4 linked regions of the Caenorhabditis elegans genome follow. The protein of the gene in region 3 interacts with the protein of the main gene of each other region in a pairwise test. Each region holds a gene or a part of one and is shown on either strand. Other genes may lie near its edges. The genes, in order: klp-4, dnsn-1, rps-6 and add-1.

What was found.
Region 1: the proteins of rps-6 (region 3) and klp-4 interact in a two-hybrid assay, tested with the Caenorhabditis elegans proteins (one large-scale study listed by BioGRID).
Region 2: the proteins of rps-6 (region 3) and dnsn-1 interact in a two-hybrid assay, tested with the Caenorhabditis elegans proteins (one large-scale study listed by BioGRID).
Region 4: the proteins of rps-6 (region 3) and add-1 interact in a two-hybrid assay, tested with the Caenorhabditis elegans proteins (one large-scale study listed by BioGRID).

Annotation. Positions count from the first base shown.
Region 1 is NC_003284.9:3,172,678-3,180,702, forward strand, and holds the start of klp-4 (Kinesin motor domain-containing protein), read right to left. Parts: upstream 6,025-8,025; 5' UTR 5,986-6,024; coding exon 5,919-5,985; intron 5,860-5,918; coding exon 5,787-5,859; intron 5,731-5,786; coding exon 5,496-5,730; intron 5,420-5,495; coding exon 5,310-5,419; intron 5,257-5,309; coding exon 5,169-5,256; intron 5,116-5,168; coding exon 4,868-5,115; intron 4,588-4,867; coding exon 4,017-4,587; intron 3,969-4,016; coding exon 3,869-3,968; intron 3,816-3,868; coding exon 3,457-3,815; intron 3,384-3,456; coding exon 3,169-3,383; intron 3,112-3,168; coding exon 2,791-3,111; intron 2,741-2,790; coding exon 2,557-2,740; intron 2,507-2,556; coding exon 2,207-2,506; intron 2,159-2,206; coding exon 1,506-2,158; intron 1,457-1,505; coding exon 1,174-1,456; intron 1,126-1,173; coding exon 952-1,125; intron 908-951; coding exon 737-907; intron 695-736; coding exon 527-694; intron 454-526; coding exon 393-453; intron 1-392.
Region 2 is NC_003280.10:405,623-412,745, forward strand, and holds dnsn-1 (Downstream Neighbor of SoN homolog), read right to left. Parts: upstream 5,311-7,123; 5' UTR 5,298-5,310; coding exon 5,127-5,297; intron 5,083-5,126; coding exon 5,003-5,082; intron 4,960-5,002; coding exon 4,854-4,959; intron 4,799-4,853; coding exon 4,529-4,798; intron 4,435-4,528; exon of another isoform or gene 4,383-4,434; intron 3,821-4,382; coding exon 3,702-3,820; intron 3,654-3,701; coding exon 3,361-3,653; intron 2,782-3,360; exon of another isoform or gene 2,732-2,781; intron 2,409-2,731; coding exon 2,117-2,408; intron 1,173-2,116; coding exon 980-1,172; intron 929-979; coding exon 833-928; intron 776-832; coding exon 605-775; 3' UTR 519-604; downstream 1-518. Other genes in the region: C24H12.4 (RNA helicase), read left to right, coding at 5,610-5,803, 5,862-5,973, 6,021-6,296, 6,348-6,541.
Region 3 is NC_003279.8:13,950,356-13,953,724, reverse strand, and holds rps-6 (Small ribosomal subunit protein eS6), read right to left. Parts: upstream 1,565-3,369; 5' UTR 1,548-1,564; coding exon 1,410-1,547; intron 1,238-1,409; coding exon 877-1,237; intron 822-876; coding exon 580-821; 3' UTR 531-579; downstream 1-530. Other genes in the region: usp-3 (Ubiquitin carboxyl-terminal hydrolase), read left to right, coding at 2,097-2,227, 2,307-2,621.
Region 4 is NC_003284.9:4,854,013-4,861,645, forward strand, and holds add-1 (Adducin-related protein 1), read right to left. Parts: upstream 6,032-7,633; 5' UTR 6,025-6,031; coding exon 5,926-6,024; intron 5,690-5,925; coding exon 5,597-5,689; intron 5,524-5,596; coding exon 5,415-5,523; intron 5,093-5,414; coding exon 4,950-5,092; intron 4,831-4,949; exon of another isoform or gene 4,681-4,830; intron 4,555-4,680; coding exon 4,411-4,554; intron 4,363-4,410; coding exon 4,195-4,362; intron 3,849-4,194; coding exon 3,789-3,848; intron 3,732-3,788; coding exon 3,633-3,731; intron 3,329-3,632; coding exon 3,244-3,328; intron 3,189-3,243; coding exon 3,103-3,188; intron 3,042-3,102; coding exon 2,769-3,041; intron 2,225-2,768; coding exon 2,012-2,224; intron 1,963-2,011; coding exon 1,704-1,962; intron 1,410-1,703; coding exon 1,308-1,409; intron 1,200-1,307; coding exon 1,140-1,199; intron 1,044-1,139; coding exon 954-1,043; coding exon of another isoform or gene 880-953; intron 862-879; coding exon 818-861; intron 463-817; coding exon 391-462; and 4 more. UniProt on the Caenorhabditis elegans protein: Membrane-cytoskeleton-associated protein that promotes the assembly of the spectrin-actin network. Plays a role in time-dependent memmory loss and the retention of conditioned behavior over time.

The sequences.
Region 1 (8,025 bases), on a different chromosome or scaffold from region 3:
GGAATAGTTTTTGGAATAATGCTTAGTTTCACATTTTCTCACTCTAGAAAGCAAGTTGTTGAAAAGAAACAGAATTTCGAGAAGCTCTGCATGCTTTTTAAAAACAATCCGCAGTGCAGAAAGTGCATTTTTCATCGAGATCGTTTGATTCCCAACTGCAATCAAAGGTGCAATTCATATCACTTTTTGGGGATAGATAGCGAAGAAAAATTAGAAGTGAGAAGCATTAGTTGTATGTATTTTTTTTCATGAAAACACATTTCTGGGTTAAATGATCTGTAAAGGTGAGTAGAAAGAACCAAGTTGAAGCGACGCGTTTCCGGGCGATTCAAAAACCAGCGGCGAGTCAATAATTCAAAAAAAAAAAGAAATCAATAAAAAAAAGAACATACCCATTGAATTGGAGGAGGATATACTCATTGGCGTGTCGGATCGTTTTTCTACTCCATTAATCTGAAAAAAAAAATGAAATTTTTTCAAGATGCTCTTAAATCAACTATAGCAATATTTAAAACTTCCAACTTACCTGTCCAGCATTAGAAATTGCATTTGGCAAACTGACTGCTCTGTTCATCCTCAAAGAATGCATTGGTAGTCCGAAATTTTGAATACGTTGCAGCCTTTCCTTCTTAGTAAGCATATTGGTAATAGCTACTTCTTGGCGAAGTCTATCCAGTTTCAACATTGACTCGACCTGAAATATTATATTTTTCGAAGAACCGTTGACTGGACATACCGCCTGAATACTTTTTGTGTAGGCTTCAATGTAATTAAGGGTCTGCTGCTGGTGTTGTGATTCCGTGGATGAAGTGGAGCTTCGAGATGAGCCACCGCCCTGCTCGTCGTGAGATGTATCCTTCGCAGCCATCATTGCCAGTGAAGACCGGTCTTCCATATCTTGCGAAGACTGGAAAAATATGTTTCAGAAAATTGTTTGGTTACATTTTTTACCTTCGGAATATGAGCAACTACATCATAGTATAAAGAAGTTCTATGAATAGTCTCGGTGCCCAGCATCTTCTTGAAAAACTTTTCTGTTAGGCTTGGTTTTTTGTAAATTTGTAAGCATATTCTCTTTCTCAGCACAATGTGCATTGGACATGGGTGTGATAGTCTCACCATAATCTGAAAATATTTTATTTTATTTTTGAATATTATTTTAGGTACTAATACCTTGACAATTGCGTACACACGATCATTGCTGTTAGTAGGAACATTGAGTGCCGGACAATCATGAACTGATGAATCCCAGGAACATGTTGCCACATGATCTTTGTCATCATACTTCTGAATTGGAACCATCAGCAAGTTGCCCTCTGGCTCAAGTGGAAGCATGGAGTGTAAGCCAGCAACACGCGGCACATTCTCATCACTTGTCATTTCACCGGTCATATCGTCGGAGTTTAAGTCTAAGAATAATACTGGGATATGTCGTTCCACTCCTTCAGGGGCAATCCTGCAAATTATCAAGATATATTCAGTTTAAGCTCAATCGCGTCACATACCAATCACATGGTGCTCCTGGTATACACGAATTTGGTGTTGGACATTCGACGGCTGTTCTTTCCTCAGTCAATGCTACCCATTGTCCCATTAGAGAATGCTCACGGTCCAGCTCAGCCTCGGATTTTCCTGATTTGGCAGAAAGAGAGTCAAGTTGATGTTGAAGATAATACTGTCGTGACTTTAATGCATGTGACCATTGTTTTCTAATCTTATCCAAGTCTTCTTCCTGGTAGCTGTCGATCGATTTCAAGTTGTTCGTTGATTTTACAGCCATAATCGCCCCAATGCTAACAGAAGTAATACAATCAATGCTGATAGGCAACCCATCAGGCGCAGCAACATTCACACCCACAACCAATCTTCTCTGCTGACCTTGCTTTAATTGGTATATACCGCCAGTCGATACGTCATCTGCATGTCGGACTTCCACACTCGTCCAATCTCCATTATCATTCAATTCTCGCACCTCTGACCACGTTTCTAAACGCCTGGTAACTTCCATCCATCGGTTTTGCAAAGACTTGGATTTTTCATCAGTGTCCAAAATTCGCTCTTCAGGATGTCCGCATATTCTGTGTCCCCATACTTCAATAGACAACGCATCATCTCTAACATACTCCATAAATTCTTCCGTGACCATCACATTGAAATCCTGCAATTTGCTTTAATGATCAATGGTTATTAGGTTATGCAAACTCACTCTTTGATGTTCGAAAATCACAGTAGTTGGACAAGATGAATGATTAGCAGCTTCGTTTGCTGGGGCAACCACAAGTAGTTCAGAAATGTTGAAAAATGAATATTGACAAAACACAAAGTTTGATAGTTTTTCCGGAAGACCAGATGCGCGCTTGATTCGTACCCGACAAGTGATCGTTTTGCCAAGAAGTGTCTCTGGTCCATTATTGGAAGTTTCATCCATCTCTTCCTGAGTTACCACGCGAAAAATTTGCACATGAAGACGCCCAGCAACTTCCCCTTGCTGCGAAATAATTGGGACCTGAAATAGAGAACATTAAAAAATCAACATCTTCCCGCGATTTGATTTACTTGATAATCGAGACGGAGATCATGGAACAACACTTCTAAAAACACATTTGCAACACCAACTAAATTATGGTGCTCTTGGCTTTCGAAGAATGGGTCAATGACTAGAGATGAGCACTCATTCATTGGAATTCCGGCTATCTTCATTGGTGATGCATGAGGTGTGCCGTTCAAAGACTCGCTGGTTCTTGAAAAAATGTAAATTGAATTCGTAACGATCAATGAATAAACTCGAACCTTGTGAATCCATTTAGCATATCATTATAAGTATCTCTCATGTCAACAAGACGGCTCTCAAGCTGAGAAACAGTCCAGAATTGACTTCCACTCATTCCTTCTCTACGAACGACTATCACTGGCTCACAAACAAATTGCCCAGCTTTGATTTTAATCGGTCTCAAGTTTGAAGCTGGAATTTGCAGTGTCACATCATATGTGGTTTGACGCTTTGGTTTTTTATTGAGCTCCTTGGAAATCATATTTGCTTCCCGTACAAGAGCATTTGCATGAATAACATCTGCTTTCAGCCTTTTCAATGACTCCGCGAACATTTCTTCTCTGGAATTATTCATATTTTTGAAAATTCAAAATTTTGACATTTATTTAAAAACTCACTTTCTCTGTGCCCAATAGAAGAATTTGCTTTTCACAGATTGTTTTGGGTTTGCTGGGAAAGGGAATGGGGGTAGTCCGGTAGGTGTAGTGATTGGAGTAGGCAGACAAAAACCAGGAGTCATTGGCGTAGATGGGGTAAACCCGCCGGCAGTCAATGACTGAATGTATTTCTCAAATGCTTCGTATTGTTGCTCAAGAGCTGCCTTTTTGTCTTCCTGAAAAAAAACCGATAAAAATTTAATTACGTAGGAATTAGATTTTTGCAACGAAAAAAGAAATCTCGCAAACCTGGTGCTTGAGTGTAACACTCTCCATGTATTGGTCAACGGCGGAACTGATGGGGTTCGCATCGTTAACCTCATGCCAAGCGTCATTGTAGTCGAACATGGTGCTGTCCTCCATAATGGATTGTTCCATGTCCATCACTTTCGGGCAGTTAACTTTGAAGAAGTGATTCATGCCCACAAGCAGCCGATTCCCATTTCTAAGAAGCGTCCTTTCAGTTATCTGCTTTCCATTAACACAGATTCTGCATTCCGAAGACATTGGGGCTACAAACAGGCGTAGACGCCCGCCATACTCTTCAACAGTCATTTTTGCGTGCCGTCTCATGATTCCTAGACCTCGGAGGACAATACTAGTTCGTTCTGAAAAGAGAAAAAAAATGGTAGATCAAAAAATTTGAAAAAAAATACAATACCTTTGTCATCATCTCTTCTCGAAGAATCACTGCATGTCATTGATAGTCCAGAGTCTCTACTTGTCTCTAGCTCCTCCGAGTTTCCAATAATTGCTGATCCCTAGAAAATATAATTTTATTGAAACAAAAAACGCAATGTTCAACTCACATTAATATAATAGACTAGCAACTCATTCAATGATGGATCGGCATTCATATTCACCAGATAAAACCTATCCTTCTCAACTTTAATTCCACTGGACTCTATAGAAATTCCGATTTCCGTCAGATCCTTCTGTCGTTCTTTATTCAACGTGTCAGTTTCTTTAAGACGTTCCTCCCAAGACTTGTTCATTTGAGCTACAAGACGTTCACTCTCTGCAAGCCTTTCACGAAGCTCTTCAGTTTCAGCGTGCTCTTTTTTAGTTTGTGTAATCTGCATTCGTAAAGTCTCCACTTCTTCGCGAAGTTCCCGAATAACTCTTGCATTCGGATCCTCGTTGATAATTGCGTGGTTGACAATCTTCTTCGCACGATCTGCATATCTCAGTGTGGAGAGGGTTTCTTCATAGTTATCGGCAGCTGGAGAAAGGGTCGCAATCATAACTGTCCTTGAATTTCCTCCAAGTGAGTCCTTGAGCAGCCAGGTTAAAACAGAGTCTCGATATGGGATGAACTTGTCTTTTTTGGAATTTCTTTCCGCTAAAGCAGAAATTACCATACCAAGTGTAGTTAGTGATCTGAAATCAAGCTTTTGATTAATAAATACATATACCTGTTAAATGTTAAGTTGAAAGTTGGTAGTGACTTCAAGTTTTTTCTTCAATTTGAAAAATCAATATGAAATTGAGATTATCAATAACATACTTTTTAACAAAAAACATCAGCTGAAAATTTAAAATCGATTTTTTTTTCAAGATCATTTCGGAGAAAAATAGAAACTAAATTCCTCCAATTTTTTACTTATTTTTTAAGCCACTTCGCAAGAAAATGTATATAAAATTCCATAGTTTCACCTACTTGTTAATGTTTCCACCTTCCTCGAGCCGTTTTCCAACTGCTCCCGTTTTCCCAGCTCTCTCACTTCCAGCCAAGTCAACCAACGAAATTTTGGCAACTTTCTCGCCACTAAACCCATTTTCCAAATCATGCAAAGTTTGTGTTACAATCAAACTAAAAACTGCATGTGATCTTGAGCTTTCGGCATTCATGTTAGTTGCAGCGACAGTTCTTGACTTGTTTCCCTCTTCTAGCAGGTTTGAAATTTGCTGGAAAAAATAAACAAGTGGATGAAAAAAAACTCTTTCAAGCATCGGCAAACCTCAAAAGAGTTGACTGCAAGAATCGACAATCCATCAACCATGGGTCCAAGTATTTTATGCTCACGCACTTTCAATGCTTTGCTTGATCTTCAAAGACGTTTGTTTTATGTTTTTGCTTTTGAGAGAAACGAATGGCTTACTTTTTTGGGTCAAGCAAGTCTCGAACTCTTTCGTTGTAAATTTCCATGTAAGACACCTCAACTTTGAACGACAGGGAAGAATTGCTAGTTTCTTGAATTCTCGTGAATATCTGAAAAAAAAACAGGTATGCTTTCAATTTCACTAGGAGTGCATTTTTGGAAAAAAAAACGAACAAAAAAACTCACATCATTACAAACACGAGGAATGATTCCCGGCTGATCAGGGGTTCCCATCATTGTGTAAGACTTTCCGGATCCAGTCTGTCCATAAGCGAAAATGCATGCATTGTACCCCGAAAATGCGTTCTCCACTACACCGGATCCAAGGTGATAGGACACTGTTTCTTGACTTGCGAAGTCATAACTATGCGGGTCAGTGGAGCAAAATGAGTGATCGAATGTGAAGGTTTTCGAGTTTTTCCTACAATAAAATAGATATCAGGTAATTTTTCTTTGCTTTCTCATTAATCTACTTACTCTTCAATTGGATGATGAAGCACACATTGTTCCTTTTGAATTCGAACCACAGACTTTGTTTTCAAGTCGAGTTCTGAAATATTTTGAAATTTTGATATCACAATGACCATTTTTAATAATAAATTATATTACCTCTTTTGTTAAACGGGCGTACACGAATAGCAACTTTGACAGCGCTTTCTTCATCTGGAGCTGTCATTTTCCAACCAAGTCTGAAGATTTCTTAGAACATCTGAAAAACACGCTCAATTGATAAAAAGCAGGTAATCGATAAAGTTATTGTCAATAACGAAGACGGAGTGAGGGAGAATAATCAAAAAATTTATGAGGCAATCAGTTTTGGAAAACTTTTCACTCGCAATGATACAAGGAAAGGTGAAAGGCGAACATAATCGGATGGGTAGGTAAACGAAAAGTAAACGAAAAACGTCAGTGAATTGAGAAAGTACTGGAAGCGGAGATTTTAATTGGAAGTTTCTCAAATTTTATAAACTTAAAAAAACCGAATTTAAGTAAGAAATCAAACTTGATTTTCAAAAGTTATTTTTTTCCCTGCTGGCAAAGTGAGACAGAGTGCAATTTCATTGGGTGCTTTGCTTTTGTGTGGTGTGAGAGCACATCAATGCCAAAAGAGCTTCTGTTGGAAAGGGATTAGTAGTTTCTGGGGGCCCCCAAAAACGGGGGGCACGAGGCGAATCTCTTGTACATGACATATGTATGTAGCGGACACTTTTCAAAAGACACTTTGTTCCCAACTATCTAATTCTTGTACAATAAACAAAAACGGGAAGTGAGAGGGGGAAAAAGTAGAAAGACGAAACTGAGAGTGAAGCTTAGAAGTTTGGCTCTTCACGTCAGTTTCAGGAGATGAGGTAACCGATGGATTTTCCTAATAAAACCATGAGATACATCTCGCGCAGCAGCCGAAAAATTGGAAATTTACAACCCAAATTGGATAGGTGACCTTGCGCAAACACTGATCAAAAACTTTTTATGAGTCCCAAAAGCTTGTTGGAATTGCAGGAACATGACGTAATGGACAATGAGCCGGTGAAAAATGATATTCGGAACGTGCTCCATCTGTCTGACTCTAACCTTTGTCGTCCTGGTGGTAGCCGTCTATCTCTGGCGCCGTTCTCTATCCCCATATCCTTCTCCCCCACACATTCCTAGTCAAAAAAGGGCACGATACGAAACCATTCAGAATGATACATTGGCGTGTGCACCCCGCGCCAGTGAACCCGGCCGAGCATTAACATTCTCATTTGCAATTGATGAACATCTACTATGCTGATGCGCGCGTCTCCCGTTTTTCCGCGCTTCTTTCTGAACTCGGCTCAACTCATTCCACCATAAAAAGAAACGAAAGAACAAGAGCAAAAGATGAGCTGGAACCGGAAGCTGCAATGTGAACCCTTCGTTTTTTTTTGGCTGTAAAAAATTCGTTTTATTTCGTCATCAAAATCTAGATGCTTGATTTTTAAACTTCACTCACTAAAAAATTTCAAAAATTGCTCAGCCGGAGAATGGGAAGCAACACTTGAGAAAACGGGAAAACAATCCTATCAAAAAAGTGCACTACTTAAACAAATTGAGCTGATCTTTTTTGAGCTCGGGTTTTGAGGACAAACGATTTGACAGCTCAAAAAAATTGACGCAAAAGAAAAAGAGCGAGAGAGAGGTATCTAGATTCGGAAATCCTTTAATCAACACGATGTGCGTTTTTGTTAATCAAGAATTTTGTAGCCGTGCGTCATCTTATTGGAATTCGCGAGATGTCACAAATCATCTGATCCACAAAGAGAAGGATCCCTTGGTAAATAGACGTGTGAAAGAACTGCCAAATCGGGATGTATAATGTTTACACGATTGTGTTTATTAGAAAAGTAATTCTTTGAAACATGCAATAAGAAATGTTAATCTAAACGTTCCAAAAATAGCTACCGGGTTTCATTAAAACTTTAATATTAATTAAAAACAGTGTAGGGAAAATGGGGATTTTGTCAAAATCTATTCAACATTTTGAAATGGTAAAAAGTCTAAATACAGAATTGCCATATTTCCTCTATTAGTCTTGCAAAACTAATTTTCAATTGGTTCGTAGGAGTGCAAGTCTAAAAAAAGCAGCAAGACTATTTTTTGAATGCTATTTTTTAAATTTTAGACTTTGAACTTTGGGCCAAACATTTTTTATAGAAATCATAGCTGGATATTGTTTAAACAATGAAAATACACACTT
Region 2 (7,123 bases), on a different chromosome or scaffold from region 3:
TAGCGTTTTTCTCAAAAACGGCTGGTGCAACATTTTTGTAATGCATATAAAACATGTTGGAAAATAAATTCAAAATTTTTTGGACCAAAGCTTTTTTCTTAAAACGCGCCCAAACCTGGCTAAACTCAATATAGACCACAAAATTCAAAGAATGCGTACTGCGCAGCATATTTGACGCGCAAAATATCTCGTAGCGAAATATACAGTAATTCTTTAAATGACTACTGTAGCGCTTGTGTCGATTTACGGTGATCTCGACTTTTTCGTCATTATTGTGCTCTATTTCAATATTTTAATTAATTATTTAATAATGATTTGAGTAGCTCGACACCAGTGTAAAGAATTACTGTAGTTTTCGCTACGAGATGTTTTGCGCGTCAAATATGTTGCGCAGTACGCATTCTCAGAATATTGTGTTCCCGTAATATGGAATGATAGATTACCGACGGATCCCTGTAGACGAACAAAAAACATTGATGTTCCATTTTTTGCTGCTAGTACATACGTGTTCAAAATTTAAATGTTAATATTCATATAAAAATAACTTGTATCAAAATCTTAGAAAAATTTTTTTCACAGGATGTTCAATTAATTCTTCAAAATCTCAATTCTTAGTCCATTTCACACAATTCTCAGCAATTGTCACAGTATTCCAGTTGGTGGCAGTTTCCGTCCAATCAGACATTCCTTGACTCGTATGTCGATCCATGACTTGCATTGTTACCGGCTTCTCCTCCGTCGAGCACATGTTCGTAGAGCGGATGAACTGGGTCATCTGAAGGAAAATACAGAAATTAAAAAGCTGCAAACGCGCCCCAATGCAAACTTTTACCATTTTTGCACAATGCGGGAGCACTGGACCATTTTCCAGCTTCAGCTCGTATTCCGTGCACTTGGTTCCGGCTTTTGCGAATATATTCGATGATTTCTGGAAAAATTGACTTGTAATTTGAATTTCTAATTCAGAAAAATTGGCTACCGTCAAGCTGAGCAACTGCCCATACAAAAATGGTGACGTGGCGATTAGAGTGGGCGGGATTTTCGTGTAGGGACCCGTTTTCTCGTGTACAACGTCCGAATCCATCAGCGCGTTGAATAGAGCATGAATCTTGGAGCCATGGACTACAAGACACTGGAAACCGGCACGATCAGTCACTTGGGAAGAGAGTTCTCTGGAAAAATTGGAAATTTGGGCATAGTTTCCGCATCCCCGGTGACAAATGTGCTCTATTGCACCGAATTGTTGGTTGGAATACGGTATTTATTGCATGTTTCAGCCGAGAATACCGATATTCATACCATCAATTTGGATAGAAGCACATAAGTCACAGAAATTCATTTTTAGAGGCTACGGAAGCTACAGTAATCCTTATGGGAGTTATACGGCATTTTCAGAGCAATTTTCGGTGTTTTTTTAAACAAAAACTTCAAAATTTTGGAAAAAAACGGTGAAAATTGCTATTTTCTACAATTTTCCCAGAAAATTGAAAATTTGGGCATAGCTTCCGCATCCCCGGTGACAAATGTGCTCTATTGCACCGAATTGTTGGTTGGAATACGGTATTTATTGCATGTTTCAGCCGAGAATACCGATATTCATACCATCAAAATTGGATAGAAGCACATAAGTCACAGAAAATTAATTTTCAATGAGGGAAAAATAGGATTACTGTAGCTTTGCGCAGATCGCGGAGCTACAGTAATCCTAGGAGGAGTCACATTACACAGTTCGGGTTACTGTAGCGCCGGGCTATTGCCACGCAGCTACAGTAACCTTTTGTATGTACAGTAACCTATTGACTTTTTTAATGGAAAAAATCTTGAAAATCAAAATTTCGACGTTTTTCGGAAAATTTTAATTTTAAAATAGTAGTAGATTTGAACTTTTTAGCGTAAAATTTGCAATTTTAAGGCAAAAAATCAAATTCCACAAAATATTTCAAATTTTAAAGTACAAAAATTTGGGGCTACTGTAGTTTTGAGCGCAGCTACAGTAACCTTTCGTGAAAAAACGGGGTTTGCACGAAAAAACTGTCAAAAACTATGATTTTTTGGGTTTTTTTTCCAGAAAGTTCAATAAAAAAGCTTTTTTGCCTGGATAATGGCAAATTTTTACCTCGAAACAGTATTTTTCACTGTTCGCGGTGAGACCCCAATCTCATTCAACCATTGGTTCGCCAGCTTCATTGGACTCTCGTTCTCATCACTGTCTTGATCTTTTTTCAGCGGGCTTTCATCGGAATTTTCCGAATTTTCGATTCCACCGAATGTTGTTGGTCCCATTTGAGAGTTCTCCTTGGATTCTGAAGCCAAAAGGCAATCCAGTGTTGACTGATCATGATGGAGTTGTGGTGAACTGCTGACACGCTTCAGAGACGATGTGGGCTTTGGAGCCTCGAAGTCGACGCCTGCAAAAATTGAAATTTCAGTTTAAAAATGAATATTTAATAGAGTTTCAGCTTTTTTGCCTATTTCAGCTTTTAAATCGACAAAAAAAACAGTTTTTGAGCTGAAATTCGCAATGGAGCACGTTTGCCGCACACTATAATTTGAAAAAAAAGTTTTTTTCCTCAAAAATATCATTTTACAGTAGGATTTTAAGTGAAAAAGTGCGTAATTTCGTATAAAATCCTGCAAAATCGGAATTTTCGAGGAAAATTGAGCCAATTTTGAAATTTTTGAGTGAATTAACCAAAAAATCTAAATTTTAAGCTAAAAAGGCATTTTTTAATTTGGGTCTGCTAAATCAAAAGTTGTAGTTTGTAGTCTAGCAGACCCAACATTTTCCATTTTCGCAATGAAAAAAAAGGAAACTTGATGAATTTTTCAATTTTTCAGCGGGAAAATGAAAATGTTTCGAATAGAAATTAGAAAAATTCATGTTTTTTGCGATTTTTAGTGGAAAAAAAAATGCAATTTTTGTATTTTAAGGCAAAAGTGCGTATTTTCAGATAAAATCCTGAAAAAAATCGGAATTTCTGGGGGAAAATTGATCTAATTTCGAATTTTTGAGTGAATTAAAATTGTATTCCAAAAAAACGAATCAAAAAATCTAAATTTTAAACTGAAAACAGGCATTTTTAATTTGGGTCTGCTAAATCAAAAGTTGTAGTTTGTAGTTTAGCAGACCCAAAATTTACTATTTTTGCAATGAAAATTGATGAATTTTTCAATTTTTCAGCGGGAAAATGAACATTTTTTGAATAGAAATAAGAAAAATTCAAGTTTTTGCGATTTTAAGCTGAAAAATTTGCACTTTTTGTGCTTTAAGACCTTGTACGGCTTGAAAAAAGTATTTTTTACCCACAATTTTCAATTTTATAGCATAAAATCAATCTGAAAATTGCTCAAAAATTCTACCCTGGCTTCTCAAATGCTCTCGGATCGCCGACGTCGTATGAGTGATCACAGCGACAAGCTTCTGCCCTCGAAAAGCCTGCGAGCAAGATTGTGACGTGTCATCTGCCGCCACATCATCACCACCACCCGACAACGGCATTTTCGTAAAAAGCACGTTGCAAACAGCAGTCGCCACGTAAAAACTGCCACGTTGTCCCTTTTTATACGAGCTGTAGAGCTCCGCGTAGCACTCTTGCCATTGTTCCAACATTGTGCTCGTCACCAGTGGAGCCAGCGAGACACGGGACACGTTTCTGCAAAAAAATTCGAATTTTAGGTGTTGCAAGTGTGCTCCACCGTACTCTTGCTCTGCGGTGATTCTTGGATACATTTTGAGCCCTGGAATTACTGGAAACTGGTAGAAAAGCGAGGCAGCTTCAAGAATTGACATTGGAGACACTGGGAGAGGCACTGTCGGGTCCTGAAATTTGAATTTTTTGAAAAAAAAAGGGTCTGCTAGGCTACAAACTACAAATTTGTCAGAAAAATATCATTGAAAATGGTTTTTTCTTTCAATTTTGAAGTAAAAAATTATTAAAAACTTGATTTCAACTGAAAAATACTATGAAAACTGCTGAAAAAGCCACAAAAATATATTTTGAAGACTACAAACTACAAATTTTGATTTAGCAGACCTAAATGATTTTTTTTTTCGTTTTTCGACGATTTTTACACAATTTTATGGATTTTAGCTCAAAATTTGCGATTTCAGATAAATTTTCCCTGAAAATTCCGATTTTTTCAGGATTTTGTATGAAAATACGCACTTTTGTCTTAAAACACAAAAATTGCAAAATTTTCCACTAAAAATCGCAAAACACTTGAATTTTTCTGATTTCTATTTGAAAAATGTTCATTTTCCCGCTGAAAAATTGAAAAATTCATCAATTTTCCAATTTTCCATGCGAAAATTGAAAATTTTTGGTCTGCTAGACTACAAACTACACATTTTGATTTAGCAGACCAAAGTGGTTTTGAAGAGATTGGGTCTGCTAGACTACAAACTACAAATTTCGATTTAGCAGACCCAAGCCAACATTTGCTTGAAAAAACCGTTTTTCTCCAAAATTTTTGCTGCGAAGGCCATTTTTCTACACAGAAAAGTCAAAAATAGTAGATTTCGACCCACCTCATAGCCATTAAGAAACGTTTTATTAAAATATTGCATTCCATCGAATCGATCGTTCGTCTGAAACTTGACAATCACATTTCCCGTCGATTTTCTCGTATTCATCCATGGAAACGAGACTTTTGACACGATTCTCATCTTGCTTCCGATCCGAAGATCAGTTGGAAGATCCTCGGCAGACTCCTGGGCTGGTTCTGCTGGTTTTTGAGCCGATGACGACGTGGCAAGGAGCGCGGAGAAGTCGACCGGATGGAATTCTTGAAGAAGAGCCTGCAGAATTCAATTTTTGTTTAAAAAAAACCTCGAGAATTTTATATTTTCTCACTGGATCAAAGCTCTGGAATCTCTCAAACTTCTGTGGACTTTTTCTTTTCCGCGGGGAGCTTCTCACTCCTTTGGTGGGCGTTTTAAGTGGATCGGGGCTTCTGAAACTTAAAATTATTAGAGAAGATTGCTCAAATTTCCAATTCAAACCTCGAAATACTCGCTGCAAACGGATCGTCTTGTGAGAAGGTCACCTGGGGTTTTTGTCGCTTCTTTTGCGGGGAAGAGACCTGAAAATCGACTTTTTAAAATAAAAATAAGTTCATTTCTCTACTTTAAACGGATTATTCGCTGTCGGAGCCGGACAACTATCCGTAAATCCCTCCAAGCCTTCAAAATCGGTAGGTGGCGGTGGAGGCACAGCGTTGAGAATGTTTCGGCAGCTTGATCGACGTTTTATTTGCGTTTTGAGCCGATTTCGAGGATTATAGTGCTCGTCGGACATTTTAATAGGCTGAAAATTACAGATTTAATGAGGAAAATACGTAAAAATCACTGAAAATGTCTGAAAATTAAAAAATTTATTAAATTCTTAGCTTCTCGCGCTTTTTCAATAGAGCGCGAATGCTTGCGCGCAAAGGGAGACTGCTGGCGCATTTCTTGATCGTTGGCGCGTTTTTGGCTCCATTTTTGCGAAAAAATATAATTTTATTGTTTTTTCTTGTAATTCTAAAGTTTTTGATTGATTTTCGATGTTTCTTTTTGAAATTTTATAGCGAAAAATCGATATTTCACTCTTTTTTCCAGGTAATTCATCATGGCACCCGACGAAGTCACCAAAAAGAAGCGAAAATCGGTGAAATTCGCCGAAGAAGAGCCACCAAAAGTGAAAGAAGCACCTAAAAAACAGAAAGCCGGCAAGAAAATCGAGGTTTCCGTGGAGTTGCGCGACAAAAATGAGGAGAAAATGGGCAGAAAGAGAAAACACCGAATGAAGAAGAGTCAGGCAGAGTAAGTCGATATTTTGGGTTGCAGAAAAAGAAAAAAATGTGTTATAATAATTTTTCAGAAAACGCCAGAAGCTTATGGAAAGCCTAGTTGGTCCTCAAGTCGATGAGATGGATTTCGAGCCGGAGCACAAGACATTCGCGGATTTTGGTCTGGATGAGCGTATTCTGAAGGTTTTTTTTTGCAAATTTAGACTTAAAATATTAGAATTTTCTTGCAGAGCATCGGAGAACTCGGCTGGGAAAAGGCAAATCAAGTCCAAGAGTCTGTGATCTCTCTGGCACTGGAAAACAAGAATATTATGGGAAGAGCTCGTACTGGATCCGGAAAAACCGGCGCTTTTCTGATTCCTCTTGTGCAGAAGCTGATCGCCGAATCCAAGACGAATGATGGATCAGTTGGACCATCTGCTGTGATCATTGCACCCACAAAAGAGCTCATCACACAGATTTATAAGCTTTTCGTGAAGCTTTCGCAGGCCTTGCCGTTTTTGCAGGTAAAATATGCGGATTTTAGTGGAAAAAATCTAAAATTTTGGTATTTTCAGGCTATCAATCTGTGTGATATCAATGAAGAGGAGAACTCGGTTTGGCTGGAGGACAGAAGCCACGTGGTTGTCACAACACCCGGAAAATTGCTCAGAATGTGCTCTTTGAGACCAGAATATTGCACATTGGTCAGCTATTTGGTGATGGACGAGGCGGATTTGTTGCTCTCCTTTGGTTATGAGGAGGAAATGATGTTAGTAGACGGATTTTGAGCTGGAAAATCGAAAAATTGACATGATTTAGCACTAGGACCTGGAAATTTGGGTCAAAATCGTATTTATTCTTTAAAAAAAATCAAAAAGTATTCAAATTTTCACTTGCTCCCAGTGAGAAATAGGAAATATTCGATGGCAAAACCACTTTGGTTTTTTTAAATATTGGTCTGCTAAATGAAAATGTGTAGTTTGTAGTCTAGCAGACCCAAAATTTTTAATTTTCGCATTGAAAATTGGAAAATTGATGAATTTTTTAAATTTTTCAGCGGGAAAATGAACATTTTTCAAATAGAAATTAGAAAAATTCAAGTGTTTTGCGATTTTTAGTGGAAAATTGGCCAAAAGTGCGTATTTTCATATAAAATCCTGAAAAAATCGGGACTTTCGGGGAAAATTGATTTAAATTTAAATTTTTGAGTGAATTAGCATTGTATTCCAAAAAAAAACGAATCAAAAATCGAAATTTTAAGCTGAAAACAGGAATTTTTTAATATTGGTCTGCTAAATCGAAAATTGTAGTTTGTAGTCTCCAAAATCAATTTTTGCGGCCTTTTTTAGCA
Region 3 (3,369 bases):
TTTTCCTGCATTTTCAATTAAATTTACAGTAGTTCTATCAGATTTTTGAATTCAACACCCGGAATTAATCGAAAAATGAATTTTCAGTTGAAAACTGGCCAATGTCTTGCTGGGAAACAATTAAAACATGAGAATTCCTATATTTGTGGCGGAAGATATCTCATAGCAAGACTTCTACCGTATCCTTGAAAAAGAATCACAGCACTTTGGAAGATAATTTCAGGAGCGCGCTTTATCTTAGCAGAATTAACACAAAAATGGACGACTCCCGTTTAGATGGAACGACTCTTTATAAAAAGGTCACACGAGAGACGCCTTCGGTTGAGTCATACAACTATCAGCCAAGCAAAGAACCGAAAAGCTTTGAAAGCTGCGAAGCCTGCTATCCGCCCCGCAGGCGAAGAACGGATCGACCAAGTACCCTGAGTGGCGTGCCAGGACTCGGAGTAAGCATTCAAAAAAATTAACAACGACAAATGGGTGCAAATATAATTGGTGAGACGAATGGAGTGAACAACAAAAAAAAAAGATTTAAGTTTAACAACAATTTCATTAGGAAACAATAACGAGCAGCAGTATTTACTTCTTGCTGGTCTTCTTGACCTCGGACTCGGAGTGATGGGAAGCCGAAGAGCGTCTGCGGGCGATCTTGGCGTCGTGCTCTTCCTTGGAGTACTTGGCGAGGAGCTTGTGGTAGGCAGCGGCGTCATCGCGCATCTTGATCTTCTGGTTGCGCTTCTGGCGGAGAAGGTACTTCTTTCTGGCGATACGAGCTGGGGTGATGAGACGCTGGATCTTTGGTGCGATGGTCTTGGTGACTCCTGGAAATTTAGACAGTTAAAAACTAAATTTAAAGAGAATATTGAAGAAACTCACCATCTGGGAAGGTCTTGTCGTGGGTGATGACGTATTTGGTGACATCGTCGTGCTTGGTCAAGTTGAAGAGCTTGCGGATCTTGGAGGCTCTCTTTGGTCCGAGCTTGCGTGGGAGAACGGAGTCGGTGAGTCCTTCGATCTCTCCATCTCCCTTCTTCACGATGACGAGGGAAAGAGCGGACATGTTGGCGTCGACGATGCATCCACGGACGGACTTTCTCTTGCGCTCTCCGTTCTTGCGCTCACGGTAGCAGGATTGTCCCTTCTTCAAGAGAAGACGAACACGTCCGTTGGTGAGAATTCCTTGCTTCATTGGGAATCCCTGCTTGTCGTTTCCTCCTCCGATTCTGACGACATATCCCTGGAAAAAAGCAACTCGTTTGAAAGAGCCGAGAATCGGTTCAAAAACAAAAACTGGGACTCTCAATGTATGTCTAGTCACAGCCATTTCAGCGAAGAAAAAGCACGTGAAACAATGAGGATTTGACACAGAAACATCACTTCGTTTCTGTGTTTTTGGGTGACTCGCTAACCTTCCACTCGTCACCGAGAGCATCGATGGCGACCTCCTGGGACATGCGCTTCTCGAAGAAGAGGCGAAGCTTCTTCTCCTCATCGACCTCGAACGACTTTTGGAGCCCGGTGGCTGGGTAGGCGAAGTTAAGTCTCATCGCTCAAATATTATTACCTGCAAGAAGAAAAACATTGGAAATGAGTTAACGGGGTGAGAAAAGGAGAAACTGAAGCGAAAAACGAAAACATGGGCCTAAAACTAATAAATTTGATTTTCCAAGCAAATATCCTGCGAAATGTGGAGGAAAACTATCAGGAAAACATTTAAAATTTTGAAAATTCGAAAAAAAAACCGAAAAGTTCGCCTAAAAATGAGAAATTCACCCAAAAATTCGAGGGAAAAATGAAAAAAGGAGCGAAAACTTTTTAGGCCAACGACAATTCCAGTTTAAAGGCGCACGCCCTTCGTGGCGAGACCCATCCCCCATCCGCCTCGTCGTCTGCTGCACCCCACCTTTCCCACACTATCTCGTCCGATGGATTTTATTTTTTTCCAAACTTTTCCGATTTTCCGACTCGATTTTCGGTTTTTCTTCGATTTCCGCCGAAAATTTGCTGTTTTTCTTGATTATCGATTTTTTATCCGCGTTTTAAGTGCCAAAACTTTGCTCTCACACTCAAATTGACTGATTTTCGAATTTTTTCAGATGCTTTGCACCCATATAAAGGCGGAAGATTGTGTGGAGCGTGTGCCCAAGGGGATGTTCCGCAAGAAACAGGACATGGAGGACAATAATTTGTTCTTGGAGGGAAATTCGAATCGTGGGAAGGTGGTGAAGTGAGTTTTTTTGAGAAATTTGGCTAGAAAATGGCTAAAAAAAGCTAAAAATAGCTTTAAAAACTCGTTTTTCTTCCAGAAACCAGGAAATAATTAAAACCTTCTGCGACGAATGCGATAATTGCAATAAATCGCTGATGTGCCTCACTTGCGGACGAATTCTGTGCGGAAGAAACGACTCGGGCCACGCTTTGCATCATTTTGAAGAAACCAGCCACCCAGTCGTCATTGATTGCATTTCTTTCGAGCTTTACTGCTATTCCTGTGATGATGAAGTGTCACTGGACTTTGAGCCATCTTTATATGGAGTTCTAAAATCGCTGAAGCTCCTTTTCGACCGGGAAGACGTTATGGAGGGAGGCGACGGGCCGACTATACCGGCACAGCCTTTTCAGTGCGTATTTTTCGAGGAAAATGGACTAAAAATTGGTTAAAAACCGATATTTTATCGATAAACCCTGCTAGAAATCGAATTTTCCACTGAAAAACGTTACAGTTCTCGTAAAAATCGTATTTCCCATGAAAAGTCCGATAAATTGCGATTTTCAGTGAAAAAAACGCCAATTTTCCTCAGAAATTCCATTTTTCTCTCTGGAATTTCTGAAAATTTTGATTTTTCAGTCAAAAACGTTCGTTTTCTCATAAAAATTTATTTTTCTTAAAAAAAAAAATGAAAATCCTAATTTTCATCGAAGAAACTTTAATTTTCCATTGGGAAATCATTTTTTCCGCAAAAACTTGAACAGAACCCTATTTTCCTCACGAGAATCACTAAAATTCCGATTTTCAGGTGAAAAAACATCAAAAAATCGTATTTCGCCCTAAGAATCCGAAAAATTCCGATTTTTCGGCAGAAACTCATCAATTTCTGCGATAAAATTCATTTTTCCCACTAAAAAGCCCCTAAATTGTGATTTTTCAGGGGAAAAAACATCAAAAATCCATTTTTCCTCCTAAAAAGCCAAAAAAATCCGATCTTTCAGCACAAAAAACTTCAAAATCCGTTTTTGCACCTAAACAGCCCAAAAATTCCGAATTTTTCAACGTTAACACTTTAAATTTATTTTAGAAAATCAGTTTTCACAATGAAAAAGCCCAAAACTTCCGATTTTTCAGCACAAAAAACATCAAAAAATTCATTT
Region 4 (7,633 bases), on a different chromosome or scaffold from region 3:
ATTTTCGTAGTCACTTTGCCGAATTCTTCTCTGTCCTGGCTTTTTTTTGTAATATAATATAATTATTTATAGATGAAAGTATAAAAAACTTGATGGAAATGCAAATACATAATATAAAAAAAATATGCGTACAAAATGACATTTTAAAAATATTCGAAAAACAAAAGACAAAGCACAGAGTGTTGCTATTATCCATAACCGGAATTGAAAGTTCACGGGAAAGAAAGAAAAGTCCAGAGACTAGACATATGTTTCTTGACGGTAAATTGGGCGTAGTATATCCGGATCTGAAAATTGAAAAGAAAACATAGAAAAAGTTATCGAAAAGTGTTAGAGTTAAGTGATGTGAACGTGTTGGTGAGAGCAAGGTGAGAGCAAAACTCTCATTTTTCATTTGTCCTTTTTTCGCATAAATGACAAAAATCCTTTCTTTTTCTTCTTTTTCTCATCTTTTGTAGGCTTCTGAAATAAAAAACGGTGTAAAATAAGTGCTTGATTAGTCCCAAAAGCAGAGAAGTTAGCAAATATTTCAATCTTATTTGAAGGTAGAGTAGAGTCAGTGGGGTTTTGCCCAAAATAACAGAAAACAGTTTATATATAGAGAATACAACTGTAAAAAGTTTAATTTTTTCATTGAATTTTTTTAAAATTTTTCAGAAATTGTTAAAATATCAAAAAAAAACTTCTAATTTGAAAAAAAACATTATTAAAAATTTAATATATTACTTTATAGTTTTTCTGTTATTTATGGCAAGAAACCTCATTCTTTTTTAAGTTTGAAACATTTGAAAAACTATTTGCTTCCAAAAATTCTTACTTCTTCTTCAGACGCTGTAGTGCACGATCGAGACGTTGTATTGCCTAAATGTTACAACTCAGTTATTGATTAGTTAGCTGATGCGCTCGAAAAAAAAGTGAAAACACAAATAGACACCACGTAGTTACAAATATACCTTCACTTGTTCCTTGAGTCGACGAAAATCGCGTCATTTTAACTTTTTCAGGGTACTCTGTCGAAATTGACATCGGAGAAGGGTGATCGCCTGTACACAAAGAGTTAGAAAATCTGTGAAAGTTATAAAAAGCTTTGAAGCCACCACACACATGCTACACAGAAAGAATAAGGAAAATAAACCTACAATCGAACACAACTGACTGGCTCATGTACGACGTATTGACGCTTTCTTCGGAAGTTCGGACTGGAAATATGGAAAATAGGCATTCAAATAATTTAAAACACTGGAAAACAAAGCGATAGAAAACAGGCGCATCGATAAAATGTGAAGGAGCAACCACATAAAAATTACCATTATTCGGGGAGATTCCGGCATTCAGGCCGTCGTCAGATGCGCTCAGAGCCGCTTGAGAAAGTTTATGTTCTCGTACTCCTTGCATTAAGGAAACTGTATCTGGAATAATTTTTGAAAATCGGCTGGTTACAACTAGAGAAGCTATTTTTAGACCTTTGTCAGCAATATATTTTCAAAAATATATTTTGTAAGTGGAGCCAAAAAGAACATACTCAAAACAAGTGGCATCCCACAAGTGTTTTGAACCCCAGATTTTCAGTTAAAAACTCGCAACACAACATGGATTTTTTGCAGTGTTTATTTTATTTTATTACGTTTTAAATAAAGGAATTTCAGTTTTCGTTTTCAAAAACGACTTTAAAAATTGCTGTTTTTTTGTTTCAGCTACCTTACCAGCTTCAACCTCATCGTATTGAGAGTAACCACTTCTCGCTGAGACAGGAGCGCTTTGCGAGTTCTTGGCCTTCACCATGTCTACATATTTCTTGATGTCTGCATCAGTTTCTACAGAGAATGGATTCGGCGCATAGATTTGGTGGTACACCTGAGCATGATGCTGAAATTGCCTATCAATGATTCCCTTGCTGGCAGTTCCGATAAGTATTGCTCGGTCAGCGGTCGAGCTCTGTCCGACTGTTCCGTCATTATCAGGCTGAAAGATTACAAAATAATAAATGAATTTTCAAGACGGGATATTTCACTTTAATCAATAGTGCAATGTCTTCATATGTCACACTGTCCAAAATCTGGCTTTGTGGTCCAGCAGAAAGAGTTCCCAGTCTGTTGTTTTCTTTGATAGCTTTTTGTTTTTCTTTAAATTCTTTAGGATTTGAAGACGCAGGACTGAATTGATGAACACTGCTGATTTTGACAGGGGTTCCACTCGCGGATGGAACGTTGACGTCATGAACCCACTGAAATGATTTGAACTTGTGTAAATTTAAAACACTTTAAAATTAATTTTTTCTCCAATGATTTATCATAGATGTTTAATTTGAACTCAATAACCAAATGCGACCGAATTTTATAATGAGACTTCTCAAAAAACTTTAATACATATTTTTATTGCGGATCAAAATTTTCAAAACACAATTAGGCACAGCCTGAATCGATAGTTGGTATTGGAGCAATTTTGAACATTTTCTGACACTACTCCAATATTGAAAAATACATTTTTTTATTGCGTTAGCATAACATGTATTCATAATGTGCATAATGACAACAATCCAAAAATTAGTGACATAGAAATTATCCAAAACAAAAATTCACTAGTAGGGCCCACCCATATCATAGCTATTTGGGTTTTCAAATCTCTGTTTATAGTTTTTAATTTAATGTTTCTTCAAATTTTTTTGTACATTTATATGAAAATAACTGTGTAAACATAATGACACAAACCATCAGAAGTTCATGTACAAATTTTATTTTCGTACTGCAAAAGTTGAAAACAGTTCTTACTTTAGTTATCTTCTTTGGGTTATCTGCTCCATACTCCAAAAATTCAACCTTCTGATATGCATTTGGACTGTTCATCCAACGAACCCGCTCCTGCTCCTTGCGCAGTAAAGCCAGACGATGTGCAGATACACTTTCCAAGTTTGTTTCATCAATTTGTCCATAAGCTGATGTAGTTGGCGGAACAGCAACATCATTGTTGTTCACCATTGACGTAGACATTGCAGATTTGGGCCGCAGTTGTGGTTGACGATAGACGTGCCCGGTTTGAAAATTCTATAATTAGTAGCAATTTTTAGTGAAACAACTGTGAGCAGGGCGAAAAAATTCTGCTCACCGCATGATCCAACACTCTCATCCAAGACTCCCATTCTAATTCTCCGACTCTCCAATCAACTGTTCCATTTCGTTTCAGGGAATTCGCTACAAAAGCATTATAGATGTATTTTAAATTTCAATATATATTGCAGAATCTTACTATTTCGAGAATTTCTGAACGCTCTTTGTATTGCTTTCTCTTCCGGAATGATGAGGTTGTCAAGTCCAGCCCTTGCGGCACGTACCTTACAAAAATATTTTGTTTTTGGAAACTTTGATTATGTATTTTGTATTTGATATGAAATAATATTTCTCATTTATTATAACTTTTCTAAACCTGATGGTCACAAGCAGTGACTAAGTTGCGCATAATTATAGATGTCTCTTCAACGGAATTTCCAACAACAAAACATCCTTCTCCTCTGATCAGCAGAACCTTAAATGTTTTAATCCCATCGTCATTTCATAAAAAATAAGCATTTGGCGATAGAATTGAACTACTGGCGGCAGGGCAGCGTGTAATTTTTAAATATGAGAAACTTCAAAAACCTGAGTTTCGCATGCTATCACAGTGTTGTTGGCTAGAAAAGTGGCATGCTCGATAGTGTCACCGACAACAAGGAATCCTTGATTGCGGAGGAAAAGGACCTGAAACGAAGCATAGAAAAGCGGATAGAAAAGCAGTTCAAAGTAAAGCTAACGCACGTTTTTGTCTCCAAGATTTGCAATAATTTCGTCAAATTGAATATCATCATCACCAATGTCCTGAAAAGAAAATTCAACAATTTTTTTGATTTTATAGTTAAAGTCATGTGAAAGGTTAATGAAAATTTAAACCGTTCGAAGGTCGACGATGAACTTTTCTATATCTACTTTAAGTACTAAAACTACCGATTTACATGATAAACTTTTTCAAATTTTGGCAAAGTACCAAAACTTTGACTGGAAAAAAATCATCAAAAAATAATTTTAAAAAACGGTTGCCGATTTTGCTTCTAGTTTCTTTAACCTTCAGATTTTCAATTTTCTCTCGTTCACACTTAAATTTTTCAGATTATGAAAATAACCACACAAGTGATTGTTTTTCTTCAAATTCAATATTTTTGCTAACCTGATAATCGTGATATCCAACTGGCCCAAGCACCATTGCTTCCTTACATAGAGGCAATAAACCACATTTCATACTAGCCACAGCCGCCACAATTGCCGTGTGCATATGAAGAATGCATCTGACCATTGGGTGAGCTTTGTAAATTGCAGAATGAAGAAGAAACGCAGGCTTAACTTGATGAGTGCAAAAATAAGTCGTTTTTGATTTTAAAGGTACCTGGTTGACTCCAGCTTTCAGTGTCCCGCAATCCAGAATTTTTCCATTTTCATCTATCTTCACGATGGTCGCAGCAGTGATTTCATGGTAGAGAAGACCAAATGGATTCATCAGAAAAGTGTTATCCTCATCGTTGGTTCGATACTAAATCAATTTTGTTAAAATTCTTCTAGAAAGGTAAATATGGTGTTTTTACTTTTGTAGAAGTTTCATAGAAATATAATTTTAATACATTTTTTTAAACACGTCGTTAATGGACCTGCTAGTTAACTCACGTCGGAAAATAAAGTGGTGTGTAACCGGAACACAACACTGAACAAAAAAAATCCCAATTTAAAGCTGATTAATCCTTACATTTTGGCAGCTGTTTCAGAAGTTTCGTATTTTAATAAAGTTGAAATTCATACAATTTCTACACGCGTTGTATTTGCTATATTGTAAAATAAATTTGGTTGATTGCAAAATTTTACTTTAAACCACAGGTTCAAGTTTTAAATTTTTGTGGTAATTTTAAAAAGTCAATACTTCAAGCACCCTACCGAGATTTCGTTATGAATCCCTTGTGACCACTGGAACAGGTCAGCTAGTCGAAACAAGCATGCCAATTTGTTTCTCTGGATACGTTCCGCTTTTGAATACTTCTCGTTTCCACGAAGATCAGCAATTGCAATGGTGTTTCCACCTGAAACATAGATTACATGATTTATCGGAAATTGTCAACTTACAGAAGTTCAAGTTTGTAAAAATATTGCAATTTTGTTTATGCATGGGAATCTTAGATTTTTGATATTATAATACTTTACTAGAAAAACAAAAAAAGTATATCTACTTTTGTGTCACAAGGTTTCAGCATAGCTAAAATTCGTATAGGAAAGTTTTCTGCATTATAACATGTTGTAACTCCTCGTGTGAATAAGCATAAATCGAGTTTCTTTTGTCAAAATAAGGAAAAAAAACCAAGTTATCCGTTTTTCGAATACATTATTCCAAAATATAATACAAACCATATGTGTGAAGGTTGCCAAACGACATGTTTCCTTGTGGAACTGTGAGGTCCGAAAGTTTCTGGAGTACTTGCAAGTGATCCGGATCCGTACGTGCTGTATCACACTCCTAGATGTAAAATGTTTTGTACAAAATTACATTTATTGAAACAAAATAACGAGAAAAAAGACAAATTACAAACCTGACGAATAACTTCTTCTAGCTCGTGGCAGAATGATTTTGATTCAAGTATCTGTTGCACTCTTTTCCGTCTCTCCATCTCTGACAAATCCTCCTAAAATAGAGCATTTCTCATCCATCTTTTAAGCTGATTAAAGAGCGAGCACTCCTTTCTCTTCTTCTCTTGCATTTTCCATTCAATTTCCCAAGTCTTTTCAAAAAATGACACTGCGCTAATAATGGCAGGTTTCATTAATTGAAGTTCTTGGAAAAAGAGAAAAAAGAGAGCTGAGGAGGGAAAACTTGATGTGCTCTAGTTTTTTTTACGGAAAAACTTGGAGCAGCACTTACTTTGATTACTGCCGGTCTTTGCAAATCTTTGATATATTCAGGGTCATCTGGGTCTCGATAGTATGGACGTTCCCGTTCCTTCTCTTTTCTTCCAATCATCTGAAACTTTATTGAAGTTTAAGAAAATTGAAAATGAGATTGAAATATTGAAATTCAAGAAAAAATCACAAAGTTTAGAAAAGTAAACATTACTTTGCAAATATGAAAATGGGATGTAGTGTACAAATATGAATTTAAAAATAAAAATAATAAAATTATTCTAAATGTGCGATGATTTTCTGAATTATGTTTAAATTCCCGCGCAAATGGATGGCCTACTTTTGATATTGTCTTGTTTTCCTGTTTCATTATTGGTCTTTTAACGTTAAATTTCTGTTTGTCAAATTTTTAGACATTTTTTCAAGATGAAAAACTGTTATAAAGGTGTTAACAGTTGAACTTACTAAAGATTGAAATATCAAATTAAGTAAAAAAGGGTTCACAAGTTATCGGAAACTGTATTTACAAATAAGGATTTTTTAAGATATGCTAAATCGGATGTATACAATTTCATGAAAATAATTTGACATTTCTACTAGCACACAGCTTACACAAAGCTGTACTAAAAAGCATGAATTGATCGAAAAATAGTTCATTCAGCGTGAGACTATTCGATGGCGAGCCATCTGATTTGTATACAAAATTTGGTTATTGCATACCTCCTGCGTTATATAACATTTGCTCTACGGGTGGCACACTTGCCATGAGAAAGTGTATACATCTAATTACCTATGAAGCATGGCAAACGGTAATATTGAAAAATATTAATTGGAAATGTGAATTTGACCCTAAAATGTTTGTGGTTTTTGCGTCAGTCAAATTCTCCAACACACTACTTTTGTCTGCGATGGAAGCGATAAACGGCAAACAAGAATGAGAACCTTAAGGTATCCGCCTGTTGCGATAAAGTTCTTCTTATGTCAAATCTAATTTAAGGAATGAGGGAAGAAAAGGAAGACCGAAAAGAAACTCAAGTCTACATGTACTCTATTTTGGAGAAAGATAGAAAGAGGCGCCGAGCAGAAAACCCAAGACATTTTATTCAGGATGGTTAATCACAATGAAAAGAAAATGGAATAAATAGAATGCACTTGTCCGAGTGGTGCACAAGTAGGGTGGCTCAAATGAAAAAGAACGGTGAAGCAAAATGGAAGTGGAAATTTTCGAATTGAGCTAGGCCAATTAGTTTTGTGAGATTTCATTACTTTTTGGGAAAGTAACCATTTTTCCGCAAACAGAGTTTTATAACTCAAAATAAATTTGTCAAAATTTAAAAATCGGTTTGAACTTTTCAGATTAATTATTCCGATAAGATAATATTGCAGCACTACTACGAAATGCTGAAACAATATTTCTATTTAAAAATTCTAAGCTTTTTCAATAATTTGCGGTCAATGCAATTATTTATAATACCACTTACTGTAAAATTCTTAGTCTGAAATTTGAAATGCTTTAACTTTCAGAAACTTGAAATACTCTTCCAAAAAAACCCCAAACTGGTGTTTAACCAATGCGGCAACAATAGAAGAAACATGCCGAATTGCGATTAAATCTTATATCAAACACACACGCACACACACCTATGGTGACGATAGTAAAACAAACTATTTGTTTTAACCTTTTTGATTAAATAGATCTGATAAAAAGAACAAGTGGAGAAAACAGGAAA